Linked DNA regions of Ovis aries. The protein of the gene in region 5 purifies or fractionates together with the protein of the main gene of each other region. This does not show direct contact. Links are inferred from orthologs where the notes say so. Each region holds a gene or a part of one and is shown on either strand. Other genes may lie near its edges. The genes, in order: SNTB1, SNTB2, UTRN, CTNNAL1, ADRA1D and DTNA.

Region 1 (4,704 bases), on a different chromosome or scaffold from region 5:
TCCACAGAGTATTTGTTGCTTTTTTCTTTTCTTCTCTTATTCAACCAGTGTCACCTAGTCTTTTTTTTTTTTTTCAGTTTTAATGAGGTATAATTGAAAAAATTATAAGACATGTAAAGTTTGCATCATGGTGACATGATACACAGATTTGCTGTGAACGGTTAATTTACCGTCAACAGTTTTGGATCTGTTTGGACCAAAGTCCCTTCCTGGACCCTCTGGCTTAGCTGGATTCTCGTTTGCAGTCACACCCTCACATCCCAGAGGACAAACTTTCCCTCACCATGTAGGAGGCCCTACATACACTCACCAGAGACCAACCTGAAGAGCACCAACATGAAAGTTTAAAAAATGGGAACTACATTCAATATCCTTGGATAAGCCATAATGGAAAACATACTAAAGAGAATGTATATATGTATAATATAACTGAATAACTGCTATATAGTAGAAATTAACACAACATTGTAAATCTACTGTACTTCAATAAAATAAGCTTTTTGAACTAAAGCCTGATATCTCGCCAAAGAGCCTTTAAAAGGTAATTAAACGCTTGGGAGAAACGTGATAGCATAAAAGTCCACAGATGAAAGGAACCCTAGACATTGTCTCAAACCCTCTCCCCAATGCATTAACCACTTCCAAGACAGCCCAAGTTTCCTAGTCTCTGTATTTTTCTGGTAACGGTAAGCTAACACTGTCACCCACTCTATGGGAACAAGATGAAATCCCAGTTGTATCACATACTAGTTATGAAGACAGGGACTTATATGAGCCCTGAGCCTCAGTTATCTTTGTGGAATGGGGATGATGACTGAGACGCAGAGGTCTAAGCATGGTTACAAATTCAAGGACTAGGCGGAAACGGAACAGGCAGGCAGGTGTTACACTGAATCCCTTAAGCGTAAGGCATTAGGACTGATGAGAAGAGCTTCTTCTCTTTTGGAAGGAGAGGTCTTTTCTGGGATCTTTACAGATTGGAGCCCTGCCTGCAGCAATGTAGGCCTAAGGATATCATTAGATCTTCTGATTTTTCTAAAAAAGCAGAAATCTGGCTTTTTAACGTGAAATTTCCCAGCTAGTCAATGTGGCAACTAATTCACAGATATCTTTGCAACCCTAGATAGACCATTAAAACAAAAAACAAAAAAACAAAAAAAAAACTGTGGGCTAGGCACACCCGAAGGCGTGGGCACTTTGCAGTGTCAGGGCTAAAGTAATTAGCATGCTGCCCGGCACAAGACCGGCAGTGGGTAAGTTATGAATTCATCAGATCTGAAATCTCAGACCTCAGACTCTTGGGAGAAAGGACTTGTTCTGACTAGGTGGGTAAGAAAAGTCAGGGAAGAGGAAAGTCAGTGCGGAGGCCGCTCTGTGGCCCCGAGGCAGCAGGAACGCAGCAGGCGGGCGGACCGGGCAGGCGGGGCCCGCTCGGAACCGCCCTCCCCGCCTCCTCTGCTCTCTTCTGCAGAGGCGGGCTGTCTCATACAAAGGCCCATCTCTGATCCCTGACCGAGGAGAGGGCAGCCGGCTGGGGTCAGAAGGGCCAGCAGCTTCTTCAGCCTAAGTTCACAGGGAAGAGAACCAAACAGCACCGAGCTGGGAGCCAAGGAGGCCACTTTCTCCTTGTTTCTATTTCCTTTGGGTTTTCCCCACCAGCAGCCCTGAACCTAGCCAAGTACTTCCTCCTTGGGAGGGTCACAGCTGTCCCACACTTGTTATAAATAAGGGCCAGGAGAGCTGTCTATTTTTAGCATCTAAATGTGGATGCAAAGGTCACCAAGATTCCCCCTTCGCCGGCTCCGTTTCCCTCTTTCCTTTCTACACATCTTTTCTTTTCATTCCAGATGTACATTTTCTGTGCGGAGGAGATGAAGACTCTGGGGGGAAGAGAGACCCCAAATATTTGCTCATCTTGCCTGGACTCCTGATTGCCATGGATTGGTTTATGCATCTAGGCTGTGACAAAGAAGTCACGCACAGACTTTGGGAAACAGCATCCTAGACTTGGATCCAAACCTCTCTGTTTCCTCTCTTGAGAATAAAGAGAGGTTCAGAGCAGAAAACAGCATTGAAGATCCTCTCCCTGAACCTTCCAAGGGCACAGATGAGGGCCCCAGGGAGGCTGATACGCTTATCCCTGTGCACGGGTGCTCACTCCCTTCTGTCGTGTCTGACTCTCTGCAACCCCACAGCCTGTAGCCCACCAAGCTACATGTCCATGGAGTTCTCCAGGCAAGAATACTGGCATGGGCTGCCATTCCCTCCTTCAGCGGGTCTTCCTCACCCAGGGACTGAACAGTCCCGCAGCTCCTGCACGGCAGGCAGATTCTTTACCACTGAGCACTGGGGAAGCCCATGCTTATTGCCACCCGACATCAGTAGTACACAGTATCACGGCCTGTGTTCATGGATGGCTGCTCTGGGCTAGCTACTTCACGTGGATTTCCTCATTCAGTCTTCATAACTCAGGGAAGTATGGATTTCAATTATCTCCATTTTACAGAAGCCAAAACTGAGGCTCAGCGCTTGAGAAACTGGCCCAGCTTCCGGCAGAGGCAGACCCGCGAGGAGACAAAAGATCCTGACTCCATGGATTCAACATTTTCCGGAAGGAGAGCTTAACACATAGATTCCTCATGAGGATAAAGGAAGAAGGAGAGAGGAGGAGGGAAGAAGAGAGGAGGGGGGCGCGCTTGACACACAGGCTGCTCGCGGAGCTGCGCCCGAGGACCGCAGCTCGGAGGGGCCTGCCCACTCGTACCTGCTCTCGGGGTCGGCCAGCGCCAGGCTGCGGGTCACGAAGCACATCCTGAGCGGGATGCTCTTCCGGTCTCGGTGGAAGGACGGCGGCTGCGACGCCAGCGGGTCCGGGGCGCCGGCCCCGAGCCGCGGGGACTCGGGCGGCGGGGTCTCCCAGCCGATCTCGGACACCGGCGAGCCCTTGGTCACGTAGGGGGTGGCCTCGCGCATGTACTTCACTGCAAGCAGAGAGGGGACAGAGAGCCTCGGTCAGCGCTGAGGGTCCCGGCGGGCTGCGGCTTTCCGAGAGCGCGCTGGACCAGCAGCACAGGACCCTCTTACATTCCCCGGATAATAGTTGTCTGTTCCTTAGGTGCCAGCGTGGTTTTTACAGTCTGCCATTAAGATGGCCTGAACTTCAGAATGACTCTCAGGTTTTCCGATTATGACAACGTCTATCTTTTCTGATTATAAGGTGCATTCTGGGGAAGAGGCTGGGAAACGAACAGAGACTGCGAAAGCATATCTTAGTCAAAAGAAACGCAATTATTCAGTATAGATGTAGGGTATCTGGTACCCACATTGACCGTCCACATTACCATTCTGTTCAGAAGCAAGGACAATCTTTTCAAAAAACAGTGCTGAGAACATGTATGTAAAGAAATACACAGAAAAACATCTATGTAACGGTAGACATCTATGATGGCAAAAATATTACTTGTAAGAGCTGAAAACTAGGAACAACCTAAAGGTTCAATAAAAGAGAACGGATTAAAGAAATCGTAAGGCACCTTTACGTTCATTTAAAAATGGATAGATGCAGATGTCTTGATGTAGAGAGGCCTGTAAGATCTACTATCTATTTTTAAAAAGCACTAGAGAACAGCGCATATACTGTGGTTACTTGTGATTGTGGTTACAATCATAGATATATATGCCTGTGTAGCTACTACAGTTCATGGACAGAAGTCCAAGAAAATGTTAATGGTAGTTAGCTCTGGGAGTGGATATGAAACTCAAGATGATGGAGAAATAGACCTTTATTATTCATTTATTGCTCTTTTATATAATTTCTCATGTTTAGCCATTGTGTTATACATTGTGTTTTAAAATTTAAAGAAACAATCATTCAAGAGCTGAGTGGAGCAGACTGAAATTCTGCTCTCTGATATGTTTACTTGATCTTAAGGTGTTAGTTGGGGCTTTCCTGGTGGCTCAGATGATAAAGAATCTGCCTGCAATGTAGGAGACCTGGGTTCCATCTCTGGACCAGGAAGATCCCCTGAAGAAGGAAATGGCAACCCACTCGTATTCTTGCCTGGAAGATTTCATGGACAGAGGAGCCTGGCGGGCTACAATCCAAAGGGTCGCAAAGAGTGGGACCCGACCGAGGACTAAGCACACATTAAGGTGTTATTTGCTGATTCTGAACTTAAGCACTTGGTTCTTAGAGAGCATTCACACTGACAAGGCACCTGGATCCTGGAACGCGCAACGTAAGCTCCACGTCCGTTTCCTACAGTTCACACAGCCTGGCTCTCTGCTGCTCGGGGCCCTTAATGGCATCTGCTGTTACAAATGGCAGTGGATTAAAATGGGTGGCAAACCCAAGGGGCAGTTCCTCCAGATCTTGGGCAATTCAGTTGCACAAACTAGTGGCTTCCCTCTAGGACACACGGAGTCAGGCTGCTGGAGACTGCAGGGACAAACAGAACGCGGTTTCCATGCTGAAGAGCAACAAAGTCTCAGGCCGCTATAGTGGATGCTGTCGTGGGCCAGCAGACCCTTTTCTGCAGGACCTGTATCCTAGCTGCCATGTGTTGCTGAGAACACTCTGAGCTGCTCTCCTGCTCTGGAACACTGTTCTTGGATATCAGAAGTCATCGAGCCCGAGAGACTACCGGCCCACTGCTCCATCCCCCAGACAGAGGATCTGCTTCTCCGGAGCCTAACACTGCGGCA
Region 2 (5,360 bases), on a different chromosome or scaffold from region 5:
AAATGCAAAATCATTCTTGACCTGTTCACCTTAAATAACTTATTCTTATCATGTATTTCTTTTCAAGTAAAATGGAACCCTGGATTTTAACAACTTGATATTCTGGCTATTCTGAGAGTCTTTGTTAACTCGTAGCATACCTTCATGACCCAGTCCTACCTTCCTTATTCATTGTTTTCATTACTGTTGCTTACTGCTTCTATTCCCAGTTCCCCCAAAGGCTCCAGGCACAAAAACTGTCAAATGAACAACAGCCCTGTGAAGAGGTGTTATTATCATCCTGGTTTTACAGATGAGGAAACTAAGGTGCAGCAAGGTTGAGTAACTTGCCTAGGGGTTACAAACCACTAGCCAGAACATAGCCTGGTCTAGCTGACCACAAAGCCCTCATGTGTGCTCTAACCTCCCTGGGCAAACTGACTTCTTCAGGTCTCTCATTTGTCTTTACTGGTGGTAGCTCTCTCCTTAGGGGAAGGCTTGATTCAAACTTGAACTTCTCCATCAATCTCTTCTTGGGCATCCTCAACCTCTGATGCCCACAAGGGTCTTTCTTTGTACTGCACCCTCTCCAGAGTTGCATTCTCACAGTTTTTAGCCCTTAGCTGTACTATTTCTTAACTCTCTCTTACCTCAACTCCAAACTTCCTGAGGGCAGAAATCAGACTATTTTTAAGCGACTCTGGCAAGTGGAAGACCTGAACAAACCTTTGATGTATGAATGAATAATTCCTACAAATCCATGAGATTAAAAACAACGACAAAAAACCCTTCAATTCACTGGGTTCCCTAACCACAGGCAACCAGACAGTACAGCTTTGCTTTGCCTGGGGGTGATAAAGGTTGCCTAAAATTCCCTGCACGCACCACAAAAGGGCATCACTGTGCTATGTTAAACTGTGCTATGTTAAGGTAGTTTTTCAAGTTTTGAGACATCAAATGGAAGGATCATTCAGTTCTAAAACTCTAAGCATAAAAATCTATCTTTTAAAAGTAGCCTTCCTGGATGGGTCACTAGTTCTCAATTTTAAACATTTGACTGATTCTATGAAATCACTGTTTGCAGTGGTTCTGCATATTATAAGCAATTTTATTTTTATATCCTTTGATTTTTAAAGTTCAGTTTCATACCTCTCCACACATATAAGAACAAAAATGTCTTGTCTTTTAGAAAATGGGAAAATAAGGTAGAACCTGTGTTAGGTAAACAAACATTCACTAAATATTATGCTGCCATTTGTAAAGCCTCCTTCTAAAAGCACATGTGGCCTATTTTAGGTTAATGAATACTATGAAGTGTTTACTAGATGATTTTTATTTAAGTGGTATGAATACCACGTTCAAATTATATCTAAACAAAAACTAGATTTAAAAAATATAGATATGGGTTAAGAGCTGAAACATCTGCCCATCACCACTGAGCACCACATAAATAGTACTACAGTCAGTATTCTGGCTCTAAGAATTTATAACCAAATTCTTAGCTAGCACAATTTCAAGACACACATTTATGGCAACTCTTTCTTTTTTTACACACATACAACCCACATCGCCACAATTTATAATTTTACTCCTTTTATTAACACTAATTTCTGAGTAGTGCCTAGCCCCACCTAAGTGAAATATAAATATTTATAAATAGGATATTATAAGGTGGGAGACTGGAATTTCACAATTAGAGCACATTAAAATATTTACTTGGAAACTAACACCTTCCCAAATGTTTACTAGCAGATTTAGGAAAAAGTGAAAATCACTTTGCCAAGCTAGACTTCTGGCCTCTCAGTCAGTTTGATGACTGGCCACTTCCTACCTCCACTCCCCACCCCTTCCCTTCTGTTCTTCCTCTGCCAGGAATACCCTCTTGACTCATCCCTGCCTATGTCCATCACTTCCCTGGAGACCTGGCTCAAGACTCAGCTTCTTGAAAAACTCCTCCCTGATCAAGCTGATTTCCACTACTTCCTAACTTTGCACTCCCTTGGTATTCATATAGTTTGCACTCCACAATCTATAATTTGTAAGTTGTTTTGCATTTTTCTATCATTTTTCCAACTAGACACCAAATAGAGACACATCATCTTTTATATTCTCTTCTGTATTGTCAGCAATAAATGCCTCTTAAATGACTGAATGGGTGAAAGAAGGCTGATCACTCAAAAATTTCTGAAGTAGTATTACCTCCAACATGCATGAGTCCTTCAAGAAGATAAAATTTATTTTGCCTTAGTTCCATAAAAGACTCAGGTAACAGATCACACTCAAACTTAAAAGAATAATCTTGACTATTCAAACGTGACTTGAGATTTAACACTTCAGGCTTCTGAATTTAAGCTTAAAGCCTTGAAGCCTGTGAATGGTAGGAAGCTGGCACCCCGTCTCCTGCAAAAAGGGGCAAAATTCTAGTTGACAGTAAAAGTTCAAACACGTGAGCCTCCACTGTTAAACAAGGCTCATTAACCACACAAACTTGCTGTTTCAGCTTTCTGGCTTCGATGAAGTGCTATGATCTCCTTTGGTTATTGTTGAGAGCCAATGATGGGTTAAATTCCCATAAATTAACCAGCGTTTTGGTGGTCTGCCCAAGCATACCGCTGGCATCGGTGTGGATGAAATTTTTTTTTTTTTTTTTTTTAACAGACCTGCCTGGCCTAAGAAACCAGAGGTGAGTGAAGAAAGCGCCACTCAGGAGGCAAACGGAGACCTTCAGAAGTCCTGTTCTAGTTCTTAGTGTCAGCTTAGCGTGCAGAGGAGGGGCTTCAAGCACGGCTGCTCCAAACTAAAACCTTCCTAGGGGACTGCAAGCCACACTTCGGCGGCAGCCCAACTTTTCCTGCAGGGAGCATCAGTTTTTCCATCTCCAAAGCCCCAGCAACGGGGTTGTGGGGAAGCCTGCCGCCAGCAGAGGGGAAGGTGAGGTCTCCGAGTGGGAGGGAAGGGGCTGGCCCCGCAAAGGGGGCAGGGTGGCAGAACAAAGTGAGCGCCGGCCAGCCCAGCCCAGCGCCGCCCGCCCGCCGGCCCGGCTCACCCTCCAGCAGCACCTCCTTGCCCGCGCGCTTCAGCGCCTGCACGGCCTGGTCGTGGGTGGCCTGGCGCAGGTCGGTGCCGTTCACCGACAGGATGGCGTCGCCCAGCCGCAGCGCCCGGCTCTGGTCGGCCGCCAGTCCCGGGAAGATCTTGGAGATGAGGATCGGCATCCGGTTCTCGCGGCCGCCCTTGATGCTGATGCCCAGGCCGCCCGCCTCCTGCTTCACCACACGGACGCGGCGCACCGGCGGTGACGCGCCCGCCTCGCCCGCAGGGCTCCGCGGCGGCGCGGGTGGACTCGGGGGCCCCAGGCCGCGGCTCGGGCTCCCGGGCAGCGAGTCGCCGGCGCCACCGCCGTTCGGGAGGCCGTTGAAGGCGGCCGCCGCGGGCCCGAGAGCGGGCTCAGACTCAGCCGCCCCGGCGTCGCCCGTCAGGCTCAGGCTCTCCCCGCTCAGCTCGGCCACCACTCGGACCCAGCGCTCCCTCAGGAGCAGCTCCACCAGCCCCGCTTTGGTGGCCCGCGTCCACACCGCCATGGCCGGCCCCACTCCCGCCGCCGCAGTCGCCGCAGCTACCCTCATTCCAGTCAGGCAGCCTCGGCGCTTCCCCCTTCCCGCCCGTGGGGGCGGGTCCGGCCCCGCCCCCGGCGGTGATTCATTATTCATGAGGCCACGCCCACCTTCCGGAGGTGAGGGGAGAGGACAGCCGAGCAGCTTCCGGGAGGTTAAGGAGTTGCCCGAGGTCCAGTGGGTTACAGTTCACCGGACGTGGGCAGCTCGCGTGGTTTGGGCTGTCTCACGTTCTCCCTCGTACGCCTCCGATCTTCCCACTCCCAGCTCCTGACTTCTACCGTGCAACTCGCCAGAGCTGCCTGGGCACAGAGAGTAAAATCAGCTTCGAGAGGCACTTTGCAAGCCTGCAAGACCCAGTTGCAGGTACACTTTTGCATTGATTGGTTTACAGAACGCTCCGCCAAGTGTGCTCCTTTTTGAGGCCTGGAGATGAGATGAATAAAATGCACCACAGCTGAGAGCTGAGAGTCTAGTTGGGGAGGAAAACAAAGAGAATCAGCTAACCTGATGTTATAGTATGTGGTGAGTGTCAAGTACAAAATGCCCTGTGAGCAGATGAGAACATTTAGTTGGGTCTGGGGTCAGCTTTATAGAGGTGACAATGAAACTCAAAAGTCAGAGCATTTGTCACTCTGCTTTGTAATCCCCTGTTTACTTGCCAGTAATGTCAGAGGAAAAATATCTTTAGCCCCGCAGTCACGATAGGTAGGTCTCAAAGATATCCGTAAAATGATGGTTACTTAGGGAGATGCCAGAATCCAATGTCAAGAGAGGATAGGGTCAGTGGCAACGACAGTATACGAGTGTAAAACGCCGAATATAACCACATATTTGGAAGTGTTTGGACTTGAATTTGTAGATCTGACTTTCTCACCCTGGAGGCCATGGCCTTATGTTAGGGCAAGTGCACATGGGCCTCCCCAGAAACACTGCACAATGTAGGGCCTGCAGCGGTTTTTATCCAAAGATACAGGTGATACAATCCACTGGCTTCTTACAGTTTCATGGGCTTGAAGAGCAGAAAGTAACACATTGTAAAGCAATTATACTCAAAGGAAAAAAAGACACTGCTTTAGTAGAATGGGGAGAATAAATCAGCTATCTCACCTTAAAATTACACAATAAAAGAAGAGCTGAGGAAACTGAGACCCAGAAAGTCAAAGATTCTGGCCCAAAGCTCACAGTGAAGAAAGACAACTCACGTCTCCCACCCTCCTGGTCCAGTGCTTTTTTTTTAAAAAAAACAAACAAACATAAGTCCAGACCTCAAGGATGAGGTCCAGAAATCACACTGGGAAGATCGATCTCAAAAACATGAGATCACCGTGCCCTCAAACGTTCCTTTTTTTTTTTGGCAGGAAAAGCAAAATTCCCCTATTTTCATTTGGGCAGGAGGGGAGTTGGCGGGGGGAGGGGAGAGAAAAGGGGGATGCCAACCCAGGGAGTGTACACCAATTCCTGTAAAAGGGGTTTGTATACCTGCTTGCTCATGAAGTTCATGTTGAAGCTCGTAAGCTGTGTCCATGCAACACTCTGAATGCACATTCAAGTATGGGCAGAAACTTTCAAAGAGCCTCCTATACCAGAAGTGAAAACAATAAAAATAGAGACTAGAAAATCACCCAGCGCCCAAGTGAAGAAAGAATTCACAATGAGAAGAGTATCTTACCCCTAAAAAATCATTACAGCAGAATCCTCTTTGCAATTAGCAGAGCAGGATTTTCCAAGCTGCAAGTGTCAGCAGAAGCTCAACCCTCCAGCCTC
Region 3 (4,704 bases), on a different chromosome or scaffold from region 5:
GTAACAACTTTAATAAAATGAAATGCAGGAAAACTGGCAGTGTTGACTGAACATGGGGAAGCTAGCAACCTCTCTGGAAAAATCTATTTAACAGCATTTATATGAACAACTTTCACAACAATTCCAAGGAATTCTACGAAGTGATCCTAAGGGCATATTAAGACACAAGCAAAAAGACATGCATAAGAGAATTTTAACAAGACAATATTTAAAAAAGCACAATAAAAGTGGAAAACTGACTTAAAAACCACAACAGATCATATAGTTTAATACCTGTTAAAAACCTTGTCAAAGGAGAATACACAAAACAATATAAAAATGTTGATACTTTAATATCACATACATATAAGAATATAAATACATGCCAAAATGTTAACAAATTATTTACAGGAAAAATAATCATTTTCTTCGTACTTTCTTTCAATCCTCCTCTTATGTCTCTTATATTACTCTTTTACATTTGTAGAAAAATCTCCTATAGAGCTACTGAAAAGACTAAATAAGTAAGCTTAGGTCACAAGGTAAGGAAGGCAAGAGTTAAAGCAAGATTTTTGTTTGTTTTCTTTAAGTTGCAAATAATCTAAATATATTCTTGGGCTATGAGAGATAGTTTGGCCTATTATATCAGATATTTTGGGATTCCCTGGTGGCTCAGTGGGAAGAATCTGCCTGCAAATGCAGGAGACCCAGGTTTGATTCCTGGGGCAGGATGATCCCCTATAGAAGGAAATGGTAACTCATTCTGGTATCCTTGCCTGGGAAATCCCATGGACAGAGACGCCTGGTGGGCTGTAGTCCATGGGGTTGCAAAGAGTCAGACAGGACTTAGCGACTAAATGACAACAACATCAGATATTTCAAAACAAAGCAAAGTTAGAGAATATTTACTTCCTACAAAAAAAGAGGACCCTCCTCTTAGATAATTTGAATACTTGAAACCTTTTCTCAAATGGGTTATTTTCTTTAATACTAATTTCTTAGATTCTCTCCTTCATTTGGACAATCATAAATAAGAACGAATGCTCAATCAAAGAAAAGTGATAAAACCATTTTTGTTTAATTTTTTTGTTGTATATACCATATAATTGAGGCTTCCCAGGTGGCGCTAGCAGTAAAGAACCTGCTTGCCAATACAGGTAGATAAAACAGACGTGGGTTCAATCCCTGGGTGGGGAAGATCCCCTGGTGAAAGGCATGGCAACCCACTCCAGTATTCTTGCCTGGAGAATCCCATAGACAGAGGAACTTGGCAGGTTACATTCCATAGGGTCGCAAAGAGTCGGACACGACTGAAGCAACTTAGCACGAGCACCATGTAACTATCTACCATTCAGCTACATATCTACAAGAAAATAGTTTTATATAAAAACATAATTACTTACTTTGGCACTTCTGATGTGTTGAGAGACTTTTTCAAAATTTCTGTTCAATTCAGCTAATTTTGGTTCTACAAGCTCCCGGCTTGAGCCTCCACGTGCACTCATCAAAACAACAGCTTGATCTCGGACGTTTTGTACTTGGAGATTGACATCATCCATCTCAGAGAGTAAACGCTAATTGTAAGAAAGCACGAAATAATCACATGGAAAAAATCAAAACCAAACATGGGTGCAGTGCTAACTGGGAAGTAAAGGGAGCTTAAACAAATGTCTGAGACTTCTAGTAAGAGACTTCTGTACCATCAATTTGAATAAGAGCTGTTCATATATTTAACGAGAGAGAGAGACAGAGACTCATTCATGCTATACAGGAAGCATTTTAAACTACTCCCAGTTTATATAAAACTTTACTTTATAATTGAATAGTCTATAAGATTTATTGTGTCATTTCCTCAACCATCTTATTCTAAGAATTGCAAAGTTTCTTGAGGCTGATAAAAGATTAAGTAGCAAGGAACAGACTTTAACTTCTTTTCCCCCTAGAAATCTTGTTTACCGCCATCCCCCTTTCCTTGGTGAAGGTAAACTGGTTTGGAAGGGAATTGAATATTACCATTTAGTTTTTAACTAAAATGTACAAGAACATTACGCAGTCTCCTCTGGCTAATTTCATAATGGTCATTAAATTCATTTTCAGGCCTAAGAAAGGGATGCAAATACCTGCCTCAATTCCTACTTCATTCATAAGTTTTTGAAGAGTGCTGGAATTCTCTCAGGAGTATGGCTATGAGTACTTTTTGAGTACCCGCTTATCTGTATGTATCTATAAATTCTGCAAATGTTTTCCTTGTGATTACAAGAATGAACGATACCACAAGGCACTCAGTGATCTAAGACATGGAGCCTAATCCACTGTTCTGAAGAATCTGTGCTTGTTATGGTGGCTGAGAGAAATTAAGTCGTTTGAGGAAGTAGTTTTTAAATTAGTGTATGCAGATAGAAACAGGAGAACATCAGCTTAACTATGGAACTTTTAGAATGTGTTGTCTTGCATCTAAATCTGATTGTCATATTAAAAAAAAAAAAACAGCCACTGCTTGTCTCAAATTTCGCTAGTTATGTAGAGATTCTTGAAATTCTCTTTAAGAAAAATCAAGCGGAAAGAAAGAAACACTTGGCAGATAGGTCTTGGCTTTCATGAAAAATTGTCTAAAGGTATGCTAAACATATGTTAGTGATCTAATAAATGTAATAAATTTAATAAATTCACTAAAAGTGTAGTCCAGGAAATAAAGAAAATGTAGTGAAGAAAGGAAACTATCTCATTCTTTAAAGGTTTATAGATGCATAATAAAACACTCTAAAATGGTTTTGTTTCATATAAACCATCTGGTGTGAAAAAAGCTCTGTAACATCTAAAGGACCTGAATCAATTGTTATTTTGCTGGCAACAGACACATTCTTTATTGTTTGCAGGTTCCTCATCAAATCTTTAATTATGCAGTGTTTCCTGGCATCGATAAACAACGTGAAGGGGAAAAAAAGATTCATTCAGTGATGTCTGCAAAATGTTTCGAGAGTATATTTGTAACCCAGAATTCAACTGTTCATCCATATCTGATGCGTCAGAGAGTTCCAAAGAAGGATTGGTGGGGCCTGAGCAGTAGATAGAAAAGATTTCCCAGGGGGAATTCTTAAAAGTTAGGTCTGACCTTCAACTTTGAAACAAAATGTAAAAACACAGGAAAGAATAAGGGCTACTCTTAGAAATTTTCTGAGACTCTGGAGTTCCCAAGACAACAAGTTCTTCTTTGCTTATCACCAGTGCATAAGAGTATCAAGAAGCTGAGCAAAGTGAAGAAGTCTGCCATACGGCACTTCTGAAAAAACATACTATCTTTTCTTTCACAGCAGATTCCTCTGAAAAGCTGGATCAGTGGGGAATACGTACCAAGAAATGAAAGCCAATTACTCATTATGAAGTCTGTTTTGCTCCAACTTTCTGTAGTGCCACCAAATTTTGCAAGTCATGAAAAAAATAACTAAAACTGCACTTCTGCTGTTAACTAATGATGCAGCATTCAACTATGCACCATGACAAAATGAAGTATTTTCTGTCTTCCCAGCTTATTAAATTACAATGGAAAAATTATGTTAACAGCCCCATAATGTGGCACTTTTAGATGCCAATTCTTACCTAAGAGGAATGGAACAAAAATTTAGCTAAGACAAAAACCAAAACAAACAAAACGACTCATTTTGTTTATCCCACCAACATAAAAGTTAATAAATCTGCACGAGAAACACATGTGTGCAAGTAACTTGGAATATTCATCAAGACAAAGGAGATAGCTAAACCTTCCATTCTCAGAAGTGTTACTGATCTGCTACCTTCACAATTTCTTCTCGTTTGCTTGCTGGCTTTTTTTCGATCTCATCCAATAGTGCTTCAGCTTGATAAAGCCAGGTGCTTATGTGAGCAACATTGCCATCAAATATTTCCAACTGGTTCTGATGGTTCTAGAAAGGAATTAATAAAACACTGATACAACCATATGAAATAATTAAGACAATAATCTTTGAAGACATTTAAAAGGTCTTCAAACACCTAAGTAATGCTGAATTTGAAGAAGAACTTCTACCTTCCTGCAAAGCTCTTCCGCAGTGGATAAATATCATTCCAAAAAATGCACAGCTGTAAAAGTGAAAGTTTTAGTCACTCAGCCGTGTCCGACTTTGCAATCCCATGGACTGTAGCCTGTCAGGCTCCTCTGTCCACAGAATTCTCCAGGCAAGGATACTGGAGTGGGTAGCCATTCCCTTATCCAGGGGATCTTCCCAACCCAGGGATCAAACCTGAGTCTCCCACATTGCCAGCAGATTCTTTACTATCTGAGCCACCAAGGAAGCACAGCTGTGGTTGGGTACTTTTTCATTTTAATTTAGACCTCAAAATAATGAAAAACTGAAGACTAAAAGGCAAAAAGTTTCTTTATAAATTTCATTTTATTTTAATCCCTATTTCTCATTCATATACTACAAATAATCTTATTGGCCCTGCCTTGATCATATTAGTTAAGAACTCATTTAAGGCAGCAGCAGCATTTAAGTACTAGTAAAAAAGCATTTCAAATATGGTTGAATAGATTTTGCCTACTCAAAGCTTGAGTGCTTGAGGCAGGGCCCATGTCTTTTCACCTCAGTACCATCAGCACTTAATAAGACACTTGGCATAGATCTCAGTGATATTTCCTGAAGCATAATATAACATGTGATTGAGTTAAATTTGAAAACAGAAGCAAACACTTAAGTCAGTTAAAACAGG
Region 4 (4,704 bases), on a different chromosome or scaffold from region 5:
AAAGAATGTTGTATTCATAACTAGTAGCTACTGAGGGCCATCGGTACCTGCTAGATTTCAGATCTTCTGATTCCCGCCTAGGCTGTTGCTCTTCTTAATGTATTCTGTTGCCCTTTGTTGTAATTTACTTTTCACTTGTGAAGTTCTTAATTCTTCTTGGTAGTTTTCAGTGTGATATTTCTTAATCTTCTTGATGAGAGTGGTAGCACAAATATTGTTTTGCTGATTTTATAGACTCAGAATTGAAACTTCTGACGTGCCTTGCCATAGTTGAAATTAGAATAAAAAATGAGAATTTCTTGATTTTCGGTCTCATCTTTTATCTCTTATGGAACAAAGGCGTTTTATTTTCAGATCTCATATTTTGAGTTTATGAAGGAAAATAAAGTTAAAAAAGAAACATAAAACTTAAATATGTCAGTTTTAATTTTCTTTACATTATAAAATTTACATATATAATGTTGACCAGTTTTTAAACGTGCCTTTAGAGGTAAGAGTTAAAGCTGCTTTAAGAAGAGTGACAATATTACTCGACTCTTCAATATTATTCTTCAGATTTTGGATCTGTAAATACACAGGATGCTCTAAAACTTTAAAATCAATTTCTAGGCAATAACTTTTTCTTAGCTCCTTAATAATTATTTTATTTCAGGGGAGAGGGGCCATTAAAAACCTACCAGGATTTAATTCATCAACTAGAGGTATGTTTACTTTCTATTTTATGATAATACTTTAATTCCGGACTAAAAGTTGGTAACAGATAGTTTTCTGAATGATTTACTATGTCACATTAGTGTGTTTACCTGTACATACCACACGTGTACAGTAGAAGCGTGGTAGAAAAGTCAAGGGTTTGCACAGCGTATTTTACAGCTAAATCTAAAAAACGGTTATCCTTTTTGGAAAAAAAAACATAGGGATAAAGTAGAATGGGCTTTGATAGTCACTAGATGGAATATTAAGGTTTAGGTTTTCCCAAGTAGGTAAAAATATCCTGTTAGCAGATGCCTGTCTCTTATATTGTCCTGAATACTAGGAAAGCTTTTTGACTTCATTATTGCACTGGATGAATGGTATTGACTAAATGAGGAAACACATAAGAAAGCTTCTGTCACAGGCTTGAGACCATTGCAGCTTCGCAGTACATGTTAGTTTCCTTCTTCCATGGTCCCGATGATTAGGGCCTTCAGGGAGAGACAGAAACACCGACACCTGCCCTTCTGGCCTGTGTGTCTTACGAAATTTCACGTAGGCCTGACTCTAATCCTCCTCCCTTACTTAGAGGCTTAGATGGTGAGATTACAGGATGCCTTTCTTGTTTCCCCTGACTCTCATGTCAGTCTGTTTGCCTCTCTAGAACCAAGGGCATTCTTGCATTTGAAATTTCTATCACTTTATCACCTTTATATAGTTTCCTTTGGCATTCCCCTGTGCTTTCACCTAAGTCTCTTCAGGAAAGGGATTTCAGCTTGAGAGGATGCCAGTCAACAGAGTCAGAAGAACTGCCGGAGATATTTCATTTGGTTTTTCTGTAAAATTGACTATGAGTGAGCTATTTCTGTTTAAAAAGTTGGAGTAAATTCTGGATTCATTTTGTTCAGTTTGACCCATGTCCACTCCAAGGCAGACCACATCGTAGAGAGTATTTCACTGCAAAATTATCCACTCTTACCTTCTTTCTGTGTTAGCGTATTTATTAAACCAACATCTGCTGAAGTGTCTACATAAAATGTTTATCAAATAGTCATTGAATTTGTACTGATGTGTCAGATCCTGGGGTTAAGAGCTCTGCGGAGAAAAGTGAACAAAAGGAAGCCCCTTCCCCTCCCCATGGAGCTTACATTCTAGTGGGAGCAGATAGACAATATGCAATTAAGTATATAATGCCCATATATAAATACTTAGAGATAAAAACATAAAAGTGATAGAGGGATGGTCAGAAAAGACCTCTTTAAGGAGGTAATATTTGAGTAGAGTGCTGAGAGAGTGAGCTAGCTGGATATCTTGGGGGTAGAATATTTTAGGCAGACAGAACAAGTGCAGAGGCCCTGAAGTACAGGAAGCGCAGGTGTCTGAAGAACAAGGAGACAAGCGTGGGTGGAATGGAGTGAACAAGAAGGAAGGTGGTAACGTATGACATCTCTGAGCCTTGGGAGAAACCTTGATTTTTTTTTCCCCCCCAAGAATGATAGAAAACCCATTGAGGGTTTTGCAGTGGCATGACCTGACTTCTGTTTTCAAAGGCTTTTGGTTTGACCAACAGGGTAAACAGTAGCGCCATTTACTGACATAAGGAACAGAGGGACAACACTGGATTTAGAGACTGGAAATCAAGCATGTAGTCTTGCTCAAGTAAGATGTACAGTTCACGTCAGGATAGCTCAAGAATAGAGAGACTTAGGAGTCATCAGCTTTCAGGTGGTTTTGAGACCATGATATTCTGTGAGACAGGGATCTTGCTCCTAGGGGTTTGCAGGCTAGAAGGGAAGAGCTGATACGTACAAGAGAAAGTGGTAATGTGGAAAGATGAGGAGGAACATGTGGGTTAAGTGAATCATTCCATTAGGTTTGAAGGTTGGTGTGAAACACATTGGTTTCCCTTTTAAAGGCTAAGGAGGGATGTAAAGGGCTATTTGACCCTGAGATCAGTTTATCCCATGATAGCAAGGCTGTTGGAAAGAGGGTTAAAGGTAACCCTGAAATGATTTTCTCCTTCTTCATATGCTTTACCTAATTTATTACCAAGATCTATTCTTTTTCTTCAAAAATCATTCTCAAATTTACCCAGTTCTTTTTACTCTTAATGCTGCCACCTAAAGCTACATCTTCATTTCCCTGGTATCTCTCACTCTAGAAGATTCTATGTACCATTTGAAAATAATCATCCTGAATAGTCTAAAGTATTTTCCAGCATTCTTTCCTGTCATCCTATTCTGCTTACTAATAAAGCATAGAATGTGCGGTAAGTAGTAAAAATCTAATCTGAATTGGTCCATTCAGATGGCTGAAGAACGTGTCTGGGTGACAGAGTCCCTCTTGCTAAGCCAGAAGCAAAAACTAGTGTTCTAATGCTTTTGACCTCATGTTCCAAGATTCATCACCCTTTTATAATTGGGGCTACTATGGGATGAACTTCAGATCCATCCAGAAGCCCAGACATAATTTTTCTAAGTATCGCATGATCCTCCACGGTAATTGGAGGTGGCCACACGTAGAGGAGCCTCTGCAGGGATGAGTTTGCATCAGGTCTGGGAAATCTGCTTGTGGATAGAGTTAAACACTTATGTTTTCCTGGGCACAGGGAAAACCGTAGGAGTTCCCATGACAGGTGTTTAATGTTTGGGTTTTAGTTTTAAATTCCATATGAAAATTATCTATGAGTGTACTTGTTACCAATAGAAGACATACACCTAAAGTAGTTTTTCCTTTCTACCAGGTTTTTGCTGAAGAGGGTTTGAAGCTTGCTTCAAGTGTACAGGCTTTCTCAAAACAGGTAATTCACATATCCCCCTGCCTGGTCCTGGTGGTGATGTCATAAATACTCATTTTGAGAGTGTATTATTAAGATATATTTGATGTTTAAAAGGTGGCATTTCATTGGAACTGTTATAACTGCCATATTTACATTTCAGCTGAAAGATGATGACAAACTTATGCTTCTCCTGGAAATAAACAAGTTTGTCCCTCTCTGCCACCAGCTCCAGACAATAATTAAGACACCTTTACAGAATCAAGTGTTTCTAAAGGTAAAAGGGACAGTGGGATGTGCAGGAAGGCACTTGAGAAACGTTCACACTCCTTTTTTTATTAGGTTAGCATCCAGCCTCTTTCTTCAAATAAAGTGTTAATACCCAAAGTACAACTGATTTCCATTTTCCTGCCTCAACTACAAGAACTGTTTATCATCTGTAGCTGACCTCGGGGAGCAGTAGGTTCACCAGATAAGTTAGCTTTTTGGACATGATTAATGCCATAGCACTGAGCTGCTGCTGCTGCTAAGTCGCCTCAGTCGTGTCCGACTCTGTGCGATCCCATAGACAGCAGCCCACCAGGCTCCCCCGTCCCTGGGATTCTCCAGGCAAGAGCACTGGATTGGGTTGCCATTTCCTTCTCCAATGCAGGAAAGTGAAAAGTGAAAGTGACGTCGCTCATAGCACTGAGCAGCTGCCCCTAAATGTCACCATCATCACCTGTCTAGGGCACAGACCCTTCAGAGAGAAAGGCTCCTATTGTTTATCTTAGGAAGTTTGTGTGCAGCCGAGTGCGAGGGATTGCAGGTTAAGGGGCTCACTGCCACTGGTGCACACTGAGAAACCCATCAGTGGTCTGAAATAGAGCAGGTTGGTTTTGCATTCATTCTCCTGAGGCTCCATGAAGTTGGCACACACGAGACCTCAGCAGCAATCGCGGCTTCTGTGTTCTGGGGCCTCAGTCCATCAAGTCAGTTCAGAGACCTTAATCTGTATAGCCGCTGAGATCCCTTAGATTTCTGTAATGGTGAAGTTGTAGATACTAAAGGCTTTTGAAGGCCCCCTGGTAGGAATTTGATCTGCTTGCTTTCTGTCACTCCAGGTTGATAAGTGTATTACAAAGGCAAGATCCATGATGGCTGTTTTGGTTCAGCTTCTCTCACTTTGCTATAAACTGTTGAAGAAGGTGAGATGATTTCTCTGTCTTAAACTCAAATTTTAAAAATTGTTGTAA
Region 5 (4,704 bases):
AGCATGCCGGTGGCAATGGCAGGCTCACTGGATTTCTCCAGTCTGCGCTAAGAAGAAATTGTGTCCATTGAGAATCCTTGGCCCAAGTGACCTTTCCTGGAGGGGAGGCATTGGGAACAGCCAGGCAAGGCCTCTGTGCCCTTTACTCCCCAAGAGGAGGGACAGGGCTGCCTGGCTATACTTGGGGCCACCTACCCAGGGTTCACAGCATAGACGGGGCAGTGTTTCTCAAGCAGGGATTGGAAGCAAATGGCCTTAAGGAGCCTGTAGCCCCTCTCTTGAAAGGAGGAGCTGGGGGCGTCTGTGTCCAGGATGGGGAGCCCATAACTTTCAAAACCCTCAACCCATCTCAGTTCCTCACAGATGCTGGAGAGCAGTTGCCAAAACTGATGCTGATTAGTTTCTGGGTCTCTGATTCTTACCTGCCTCTTGAACAAAGACAGTCTCCTTCTCCATACCCTTCCCACCACCCCAGCATACTCCTTGGCCTAACTCAAGGTCCTTAAATATCAGTCTCTTGGAGATGACTGTAGTCCTCCAGTTTATAAGCCTGGCAGGTAGTACCCTCAGCTGCATCGTGGGGGACACCTAAGAACACCACTTCCACCTCTGAGTGCAGGGCGCACATGGCCTCTCTGGTGTGGATCTTTTGCGATGGGCTGGAGACTTTGGCATGCAGCTGGGTAGCAGGTCTCTGGAATGGCCGGAGAAGCCTCCACTCACGGAAGGTGCAGGGCATCTTTCGACAGGGGACAGCTGGAGCCTGTGCTTTGGGTGCGCCCAGGGAGCCAGGGGCTGAGGGCACAGTGAAGGCCTGTGGGGCCCTGGTGGGTATGGCACCTGGGCCAGGAGTGCAGTCTGGGTGTGGGCTGCCATTTGAAGCTTGCCAGTTGCGACTGTAGATACGCCAGAGTGGGCGGTGGCGCTGGCGACTATGATGGCACTGGCAGCGCAGGAGGCGGAAGAAGGCACGCTTGAACTCCTTGCTGGAGCAGGGGTAGATGAGTGGATTCACACAACTGTTGAAGTAGCCCAGCCAGAAGATAACCTTGAAGACGCCCTCTGAGGGCTTCAGCTGTGGAAACAGGGAGCCTGTGGGAAGCAGAGACCCAGGCTGGTTAGATGCTCAGGAAGAGGGAGCCCCAGGGAGCCCCAGGCTGCCCCTGGTGCAGCCCCTCTCCACAGGCAGCCCCTCTCCACACTACTCCCCCTCCCACAGCACCTTTCCTGGGCTCTGACCATTCATCAGCTAGGGGCTATCAAGATATCTCTCCTCAATGGGTTCCTGATATAATTCAAGAGTATCCATGAACGTTGATGAAGAAAAACAACCATCTTCAGTTTTACTCACATTTACCTGAAATCAAGCATTTCCTGCAAGTGTAAGCAACAAACCTGAGTAGAATTAGACAAAATGACATTGAAATCACTGTTTTGTAGCTCCAAACTGCAGCTACAAAACAGTGCAATATTGTCAGTTTTCTACATAATATTAGCAGTTGGTGGAGATGTTTTGAAATGTTGTCTATGCTTCTCCCTATTTGGAAATGGTCACTAGAACACACCAGTGGATCCTGTTATTTAAAGCCTTCATGTGGAAGTACATTTAATACTAAATCACAAATTTCAATTAAAAATCAATGAAACTGATTCCATCTGTAATCCTTTGTATTTTATTTTATGCATTTGAAAGAGTAATTCTGATAAAGGCTCCATACACTTTGTCAGATGCCCAAGTAGTCCCTAGCTTTATAAGAAGGGTAAAGACTCCTGAATCAAATGTTGACCAAGGCTTGCTCCATGCCAGGCACTGTCCTGGACTCTCCTCAAATACCTGAGGTCCTGCTCTCTCAGTAGCAAAGTGGATCAAATATCATGAGAAAGAAGATGGGATGATGGTGGTGCCCAGTATATTGGGGTTGGGGGGGGCTTCCAAAGTCTCAGGATAGACAGGAGCCAGGCAGGATGAGGAAGGGTAGAGGTTATCAGGAGTGGAATGGAGAGGTAGGCAAGAGGATAACAAGTTTGGGCAGGGGAATGTCCAATAGGATAGGCTCAGAAAACTTCATCTGGGACAGATGGTGAAGGGCCTTAAATGCTGGAAAGTCACACTTTTATTTTGTGGATAGTTAGGAGATACGGATATTTTTGAACAGGCAAAAGATAGAACCTAGAATTAAGCCTCAATAAACACAATGCCCAAATCACTGTGGACAGTGACTGAAGCCATGAAATTAAAAGACACTCCTTGGAAGGAAAGCTATGACAAACCTAGACAGCATATTAAGAAGCAGAGACATCACTTTTGTTGACAAAGGTCAGTATAGTCAAAGCTATGATATTTTTCAGTAGTCACGTATGGATGTGAGAGTTGGACCATAAAGAAGGCTGAGCGCTGAAGAAGCTTCGAAAGAAGCTTTCCAACTGTGGTGTTGGAGAAGACTCTTGAGAGTCCCATTGGACTGCAAAGAGATCAAAGCAGGCCATCCTAAAGGAAATCAGTCCTGAATATTCATTGGAAGGACTGATGCTGAAACTGAAGCTCCAATGCTTTGGCCACCTGATGTGAAGAACATCACTGGGGAAGACCTGATGCTGGGAAAGATTGTAGGCAAAAGGAAAAGGAGGTGGCAGAGGATGAGATGATTAGATAGCATCAGCCACTCAGGGGACATGAATTTGAGCAAACATCTGGTGTGCTGCAGTCCATGGGGTTGCCAAGAGTCAGAAACGACTTAGCAACTGAACAAATGCAATGCCCATGGGCTGCCAGAATGCAGGATAATGGAGCTGTCCCAGTGGAAGTGGGAAGTGGTCAGGGAAGGCTTCTGGGATGGCTTTAAAAGGGAGCAGAGTGCCTGACAGGAGGGAGTGGGGGTACTGGAAGTCTGAGTCGTGCCAGAAAGACCCTCTTCCCCACAAACCTCTCCCCTGCTTTCCCCACCATGGACCTTAAGGAGTCATACCTCCAAGGGCAACTAACAAAGTGCAAAGACATCATTCAGGAAGCACAGGCCACTTTGTCACCCTCATCATCCTCCACAGCAATAGCAGCAGGGGTCAAGGATAGGTGGCAAGACTGTCCCATCCCAGGCAAAAGCCTTAGGTGTCTGCCAGGGTGAGCAGAACAAGGGGAGTGGTCCTTGACAAATCCATGAAACATGCTTTGTTTTCTTGTCCTCAAAGAAATAAGAGCAAGGGCCTTTACTGAGGGAGCAGAGGCACCATGGGTCCCTCTTTGACCTGTGGGCTCTTGTATATCACCCACCTCCCACTTGGTGAGATTCCTGGTGCTAAGAGGCGGAGAAAGAGGAATGTCAGGTAGTACTGCGTGGCACAGGATTTTCAAACTCTGGTCATGCAGCCTTCAGCAAGTTATTTGGCCATCTAAGTTTCACTTTCCTTTTCTGTGAAATATACATAGCAATGTTTCTCTGAAAGGGATTTTTTGATGAATCATGAATTTCAGGGTGTAAGACTTAGCAGGTTTGTACTAAATACTGGAGTCTATTCACCTCCCCCTTCCATATCTTTGTGGCTTTTTGAGAGAGGAGACCTCAGTCCTGAAGGGACTCCGTTCTCAGCTCTGGATAGTGGCCAGAAACAGAAGCTGAGATTTGGTGGGTTTGGGGGAGGCTGGGGCATCAGTCAGAATGTGTTTAGGAGATAATTTCCCTTGGGAGAAGTATCGGGCAGTTGTCCCTGGAATCCAGGGGCCACCAGGGTTGACCTCAGCCTCCAGAAAGACAGCCTTCTGAACAGCATCCTTCAATGGCTGCAAAGTAAGACTGAGTGCTGAAAATAACTTTCTGACTCAGGCTAGAATTCTTTTATATTTAGCCCAGGATGACAAATCAGGGGACTATGCTTTCAGCAGTAAGCCAAAAACCAGCCAAGGGGCTTTGTTATCAATGTGGTTTTGATTTGAATTTTGTGGGGAACATGGCATATCTGTAGTGTGGCCTGGGCCTTGTTTTTAAGAATTAGAATTCTAATTTATGCTTAACCAACCTATGTGGAAGCTTGCTGCCAGCTCGGAATTCCTTACACACAAAGGAGCTGGGGTTCAAACTCAGCCTTTCAGCCCCACGTTTTTCCTACTGTGTCTTGCTGAGGTTTCTGTCTTACTTTGGTCCTCCCAGAAGCAGACCTGAGACAAGGATTCAAATACAACTTGTTCACTTGAAAGGTGAATGAAACACCAGTAGTGACATGTGATAAAAAGAGGGAAGAGAAGGAAGCCAATGAAAGGAGAGTTAACCAGTTAGTCACTGCCATGGGCCACCAGGGTGCAATCTCACTGGGAGCTCTGGGGGACTGTAGTTGTCGCACCAGTGGGGTGAGGGAGGTGAGGTATCTATACTCCCATTCCCATCAGTCAGTGTTTGGGCTGCTCCCTCAGGGTGTTAATTTTCCATAGTCCTGTCTTCTGTGTGGGTGGACAATGAGGATTTTGCTGGTCAGAGAAAGTCGAGGGCAAAGAGATGGAGGCAGCTGCTGGGGTAGAAAGTGACCCATATACGGGGGGCAGGGTGGGGCACTGATGGCAGCCTCCACAATTTTGTTTCATTTGCTGTCTGCCCTTTGTGCACAGACATCTTGCATGTAAAATACAGACATCTATGTCTTGGGCTCCAGCTTCCACAGGCAGGAGCTCCCCAGAGATTTCACTCTGCTCCCTTCACATGGCAGCACTGAGCTTCA
Region 6 (5,321 bases), on a different chromosome or scaffold from region 5:
GAGAAAGGACTCACAGAACTCTCAAACGTCACTAAGAAATCCCTTTGGGTGTTACTTCTTACCGGAATCCCCCCATTTTAAATCACTGTCGTCTTGGAAATGATCATTCAGATGAAAACAGTTCCCAGCGTCCAGATTTATGTAAACCCAGACACATACAAACACAGCAACTCATACCCTGATTCACACTCTCACATTTTAAATTCACCAAAGCTGACAGTGTTTTTAGAAATGTCTGGCTCTGCTTGGCTTCTGCTCCCCTTTAGCAAACACTAGACATGAGGATTTAGCAGTTAGTGTGATAGCCCCTTCCCAGGTTTTACACTTCCCTCCCTTCGCTCCAGGTGGATGACAGGAACGTGTGGGGTCCAGCCGTCACCAACTGTGGGGATGCCCAAAGTGAATAACTGCAATGCAGGCCCTTCCAAGCTCCTTTCCTCCCCAACTGATTTCCTGTGTGCCTGTCCATGCTCAGTCACTTCAGCTGTGTCTACCTCTTTGTGACCCCATGGACTGTAGCCTGCCAGGCTCCTCTGTCCATAGAGTTATCCCAGGCAAGAACACTGGAGCCGGCTGCCAGTTCCTCCCCCAGGGGAATCTTCCCAACCGAGGGATCGAACCTGCGGCTCCTGCATTGGCAGGTGGATTCTTTACTGGTGGCATATAAAAGCCTGTTTCCATTTCTATTAATGAAAAGGGGCCTCTGATAGCATTTTCTCAGATTTACTTTCTAGTCCCGATCTCTGGCAATATGATAGAACAGCATTCAGAGCTCTTTCCTGAGGCAAAGTATAATTGCATTTGCTTCTACCTCCTAGTCCTTTATCTAGATGAGCTCCTGAAAGTAGGAAAATGCTGTCACTGAAATAAATGGCTATAATGGGTTTCTGGCTCAGCCTTTTACTTTGAACATCATCTTGGAACTTGAGTTTTGTTTTGGGGAATGAGGGACATGAGCTTACTATTTTAGGGCTAGGACCCGCTGGATTTGTTATCAGGGATTTGGTCTTTCCTCCAAAGTACCCACCATAGTGGTTCTCAGCAGTGGCTGAACATCACCCTGGCCTGGAGACTTCATAAAAAAATATACATACTACCTGGATCTACTGAATCGGGGGTTGAAGTGGAACCCTTGCACTTTAACAGTGCATCACAGGCATCCCTGATACATAGCCAGATTAATACTAGAAATACTGTGTTAGTTGAATTTGACTGTTGAACAATAACAACAGGTTGGAATTCTTTTTAAAAAAGTTTATTTTTGGCTGTGCTGAGTGTTCGATGCTGCACTGAGTGTTTGTTGCTGCACCTGGCCTTTTCTCTAGTTGCAGCAAATGGGGGCTGCTCTCCAGTCACGAGTGCACAGCTTCTCGATGCGGTGGCTTCTCTTGTTGCCCAGCACTGGCTCTAGGAAAGCCGGCTTGGTGATTGCGGTGAACCAAGCTTGCCCTGAGGCATGTGGGATCCTAGCTTCCAAACCAGGGGTGGAACCCATGTCCCCTGCATTGGCAGGCAGATTCTTAACCACTGGACAACCAGGGAAGTCCCTAGGCTGGAATTCCTGTGTTGCCTTATAATATGTTTCTCTAGCTTGTAAGATCCACTTTACAATGTACTTTGAGCCAAGGGAGAAGATAATTAATTCTTCAGAGAATGTAAATATGCATACACTGATGACGATGGTGATGGTGAAAGTCGCTCAGTTGACTCTTTGTGACCCCCCATGGACTGTAGCCCACCAGGCTCCTCTGTCCATGAAATTCTCCAGGCCAGAATATTGGAGTGGGTATCCGTTCCCTTCTCCAGGGGATCTTCCCAATGCAGGGATGGACCCAGGTCTCCTGCATTGCAGGCAGATTCTTTATCGTCTGAGCCACCAGGGAAGCCCTGATATATTGATATGGGTACATACTAAGGCAAACTTTAAGTAACAAAAAAAATGTCATTAAAAAGTGAGAAAACAATTTTTATCTGGAGAGGAGTACTATCAGTGGTACTTTCAAGTCAGGAAGGAAGGCTTTCTGGGGTTAGAGTGTACAAGATGTTTAAGGTCACTGGCTTTTGTTTGACTCCATTTGGCTTGGTATGAGGCTAGGCCTTCTGCTCAAGAGCACGGGGGTATGATTCTCACCTCCTCCTATTAGTCAGGATTTAAAGATTGCAGAGCAGGGCTGGGAGCAGTTTGGTATGGGGAAAAAGGAGCCATTTGGAAGGAAGATGATAAAAACTTGGACTCTGTTGTGTGAGGTTAAAAGGACTAGAAAGTCTTTGAAGGACTTGGAAGCCCTGCCTAAGAGCTTCATCAAAGGGACCTCAAGAGTCTCTGGGGGAGACAACCACAAGTACAGGGGGTCATCTGTACCGCTGCCTTCAGCTCTGCACTGGGACCTAAGATGTTTTTAGAGAACCGTGTTTTATCTCATATGATGTGCCTTTGGGACAAGGGTTGTGTGTGTGCGCATCTATATTTCTCACAAGCAATAATGTTACTTGTATAGGAAGTCCCCATGAACCTTCAAGTTGTGAACTTTCAAAGATGCGAATGTACGTTTGCATGTCCAGTCACGGAAGTTAGCTCACGTGTCTGGCGTACATTGTCACGTGTGTGCATTCTCTACAAGTGGAGCAGGAAATGGCAAGGAGGTTTTCTTTATCTGAGGAGTCACTGTTGGCTTTTGAGGCACAGGACCTGGACATAGAACAGTACACGCAGGAGCCAGCAGCCGTTCAGAATGCAGTGCAGTGCTACCGTGTCATCTCTGATGAGAACAAAGGAGCTATGACCCAGACATCACTGGGTCATTTTTATCAAGAGGGTTAGATAGAGCTGCATCCAGCAAAGAGCCAGAACCTGTGCTGTCAACACCAGGTGTGAGTGAAGCTGCGGCTCGCTCTCCGTTTCCCATTGCTGACGATCCTTCAGCTCTCCCATCTCCCACCTCCCCTCCCTCCTCCTCTAGTCAGTAACTCTTCTAGCCTGTTCACTCGATGCCAGCCCCTGTATGCCTGCTGTTGTACTGCACTACTGTGCTTTTCAAGTACTCTACTGTAAGGTTAAAGGTGTTTTCTTTATTTTTTGTGCTTATTTTTAATGTATTGTGTGAAAAGTATTATAAACCTATTACATTGCAGTACTGTATAGTCAATTGTAGGCTAACTTTGTTGGGTTTATGAACAAATTGAACTTATGAATGCACTCTCAGAACAGGACTCATCTGTATGTAGGGGACATACTGGATAGGCCCACTTGGTTATGGGGGATCTATGGTTAACCTGAATACTGGAACCAGAGTCTTCCCTGCCATTCTGCTGGGGCTGTGAAGTCTTTAACTTCTGAGGGGCGGGTGTTAGGAAACGGTCTGCCTTCTGACTATTTGGAACCGTCTCAATTCAGTGTAGGATGTCCCTGCTCATAAATGTAGGTCTATTTCCTTTCCCGACATATTTATTGAATGAAATTAAATAAATGAAGAATGAAAATTCCCCTCTCCCCGTAATTGTAAGACAGTTTTTCACTAATCTTGCAATAAGACAACTCCAAATTTTTGAATTTGGCCCCACTTATTTCTGAGCCCCACTTAATCTCATTATAGTGGTATACTATATTTATATAGTATACATGTATACTATATATGTATAGTATATACATAGTATTATACAGATAATAGTATACATATTGTATGTTGTTGTTTAGTCATTAAGTCGTGTTTGACTCTTTTGCAACCCCATGGACTATAGCCTGCCAGACTCCTCTGTCCATGGGATTTCCCAGGCAAGAATACTGGAGTCGGGTTGCCATTTCCTTCTCCAGGGGATCTTCCTGACCCAGGAATCAAACCCGCATCCTGTTTGGCAGGCAGATCTTTATCACTGAGTTACCTGGGAAGTCCCATATATACTGTATATACTATATACATTATTTTACTTGGATATGTAAAAATGTGTATATGTATACACACTTATGCAAGTAAAATAATTTGATAAATTGTAAAAATGTAATTCAAAACTTTTTTGAAGTGATTGCATTCAACTTAGCTTCTTAATTAAGAGGTATTAGCTGATTAAGCAATGCAATACTATCCAGTCTATAATTTCTTTTAAAGTTTAGCCCCTTTCAATGATTTGATAAAAAGTATGGATCCTCACCCCACCAAAATGCTTATGTCTCTGGATACACAAATGAAGAAATTATAGCTCCTTGCATGGGCTGGTTTTGAGGAAGAAAGCCAGGATTTGGTGAGAATCAAAGGTAGCTTTATTTTTTAGGGAGCACTAATCATTAGTGAAAGGGAGCAGTCAATGGATATATCTGCAGAGCAGCTGCCCAGAGGAGAGAGCAACCTGGCCTCTGAACACCAGGAAAACAGGAAAGATGTTGAGGTAGTGCTGGCATGATGCAGAGAAGATAGTGATGGGCTCCTCATGTAGTAGAACCCAGGGTGCCCAGATATACAAAGTCAGTATGCGAGTGTCAGGCAGAAACTTGCATCTGGAAAGGCAACGTTCTTTAGGACTTTACTGGCATGACTCCTGGTGCTTGAAAGGATTTTGTTTTGGAGGAGCCTGAAAAGAGTACGAAGGCCTAGCCTGGTGGCTCAGTGGTAAAGAATCTGCTTGCCAAGCAGGAGGTGCTGGTTCCATTCCTGGGTCAGGAAGATCCTCTGGAGAAGGAAATGGCAACCTATGCCAGTATTCTTGCCTGAGAAATCCTGTGGACAGAGGAGCCTGGCGGACTCGCCAGGGATCGCGAGTCAGATGCAACTTAGCCACTAAACAGCAGCAAAAAGAATAGGAGAAAGAAACAGGTCCTCTCTTGTCCATGGCTAATGTGCTGAGAAAGCAAAACAAAACTGAGGCTACTACTGACCATGGGCTAATTGCTATCTGGATTTGTAGGAGTTAGATTTCCCTGAGGAGAATGAGAATAAAAGTGAAGGGCAGGGCACTGAGCATTCAGATATAAGCCAGGGAGGAATGCGTGCTTTAAATTTTCCATTTCTTATTTTTTAGAGTTGGGGAATGCTGGGTTTGGAGAGGTGGAAAGGGGACAGGCAGGGAGTTCATTGTTTTCTGCAAGAGGACAAGAAAATCAGACGTTTTCTGGGAGAAGATACAGTAACAATAATAAAAATCACAATACTATTTAAAACACAACTGTTTTACAAAAAAGTGAACAAGATACCAAACACTAAGAAGGAATTTTCTCATTATGTTCTTATAAGAACACCATAACAATGGCGTATTACTCTTTCTATTTTACTTATGTGGAAACCGAGCTTCAGAGAGATTAAGCAATTGCCCAAGTGATCAATTTAGGGCTT

What was found.
Region 1: the proteins of ADRA1D (region 5) and SNTB1 purify together in Homo sapiens (tandem affinity purification; 4 studies listed by BioGRID and IntAct, with this or other methods). This does not show direct contact. The link is inferred for Ovis aries from reciprocal best matches to the Homo sapiens genes ADRA1D and SNTB1.
Region 2: the proteins of ADRA1D (region 5) and SNTB2 purify together in Homo sapiens (tandem affinity purification; 4 studies listed by BioGRID and IntAct, with this or other methods). This does not show direct contact. The link is inferred for Ovis aries from reciprocal best matches to the Homo sapiens genes ADRA1D and SNTB2.
Region 3: the proteins of ADRA1D (region 5) and UTRN purify together in Homo sapiens (tandem affinity purification; 4 studies listed by BioGRID and IntAct, with this or other methods). This does not show direct contact. The link is inferred for Ovis aries from reciprocal best matches to the Homo sapiens genes ADRA1D and UTRN.
Region 4: the proteins of ADRA1D (region 5) and CTNNAL1 purify together in Homo sapiens (tandem affinity purification; 3 studies listed by IntAct, with this or other methods). This does not show direct contact. The link is inferred for Ovis aries from reciprocal best matches to the Homo sapiens genes ADRA1D and CTNNAL1.
Region 6: the proteins of ADRA1D (region 5) and DTNA purify together in Homo sapiens (tandem affinity purification; 4 studies listed by BioGRID and IntAct, with this or other methods). This does not show direct contact. The link is inferred for Ovis aries from reciprocal best matches to the Homo sapiens genes ADRA1D and DTNA.

What each region holds. Positions count from the first base shown.
Region 1 is NC_056062.1:94,924,621-94,929,324, forward strand, and holds part of SNTB1 (beta-1-syntrophin), read right to left. Parts: intron 2,982-4,704; coding exon 2,765-2,981; intron 1-2,764. UniProt on the Homo sapiens protein: Adapter protein that binds to and probably organizes the subcellular localization of a variety of membrane proteins. May link various receptors to the actin cytoskeleton and the dystrophin glycoprotein complex.
Region 2 is NC_056067.1:35,944,868-35,950,227, reverse strand, and holds the start of SNTB2 (beta-2-syntrophin), read right to left. Parts: upstream 3,609-5,360; 5' UTR 3,606-3,608; coding exon 3,026-3,605; intron 1-3,025. UniProt on the Homo sapiens protein: Adapter protein that binds to and probably organizes the subcellular localization of a variety of membrane proteins. May link various receptors to the actin cytoskeleton and the dystrophin glycoprotein complex.
Region 3 is NC_056061.1:69,059,703-69,064,406, reverse strand, and holds part of UTRN (utrophin), read right to left. Parts: intron 3,900-4,704; coding exon 3,771-3,899; intron 1,554-3,770; coding exon 1,383-1,553; intron 1-1,382.
Region 4 is NC_056055.1:14,330,574-14,335,277, forward strand, and holds part of CTNNAL1 (alpha-catulin), read left to right. Parts: intron 1-652; coding exon 653-701; intron 702-3,436; coding exon 3,437-3,493; intron 3,494-3,632; coding exon 3,633-3,848; 3' UTR 3,849-4,572; coding exon of another isoform or gene 4,573-4,665; 3' UTR 4,666-4,704. UniProt on the Homo sapiens protein: May modulate the Rho pathway signaling by providing a scaffold for the Lbc Rho guanine nucleotide exchange factor (ARHGEF1).
Region 5 is NC_056066.1:50,655,296-50,659,999, reverse strand, and holds part of ADRA1D (alpha-1D adrenergic receptor), read right to left. Parts: intron 1,093-4,704; coding exon 503-1,092; 3' UTR 1-502. UniProt on the Homo sapiens protein: This alpha-adrenergic receptor mediates its effect through the influx of extracellular calcium.
Region 6 is NC_056076.1:22,643,655-22,648,975, forward strand, and holds the start of DTNA (dystrobrevin alpha), read right to left. Parts: upstream 3,572-5,321; 5' UTR 1-3,571. UniProt on the Homo sapiens protein: May be involved in the formation and stability of synapses as well as being involved in the clustering of nicotinic acetylcholine receptors.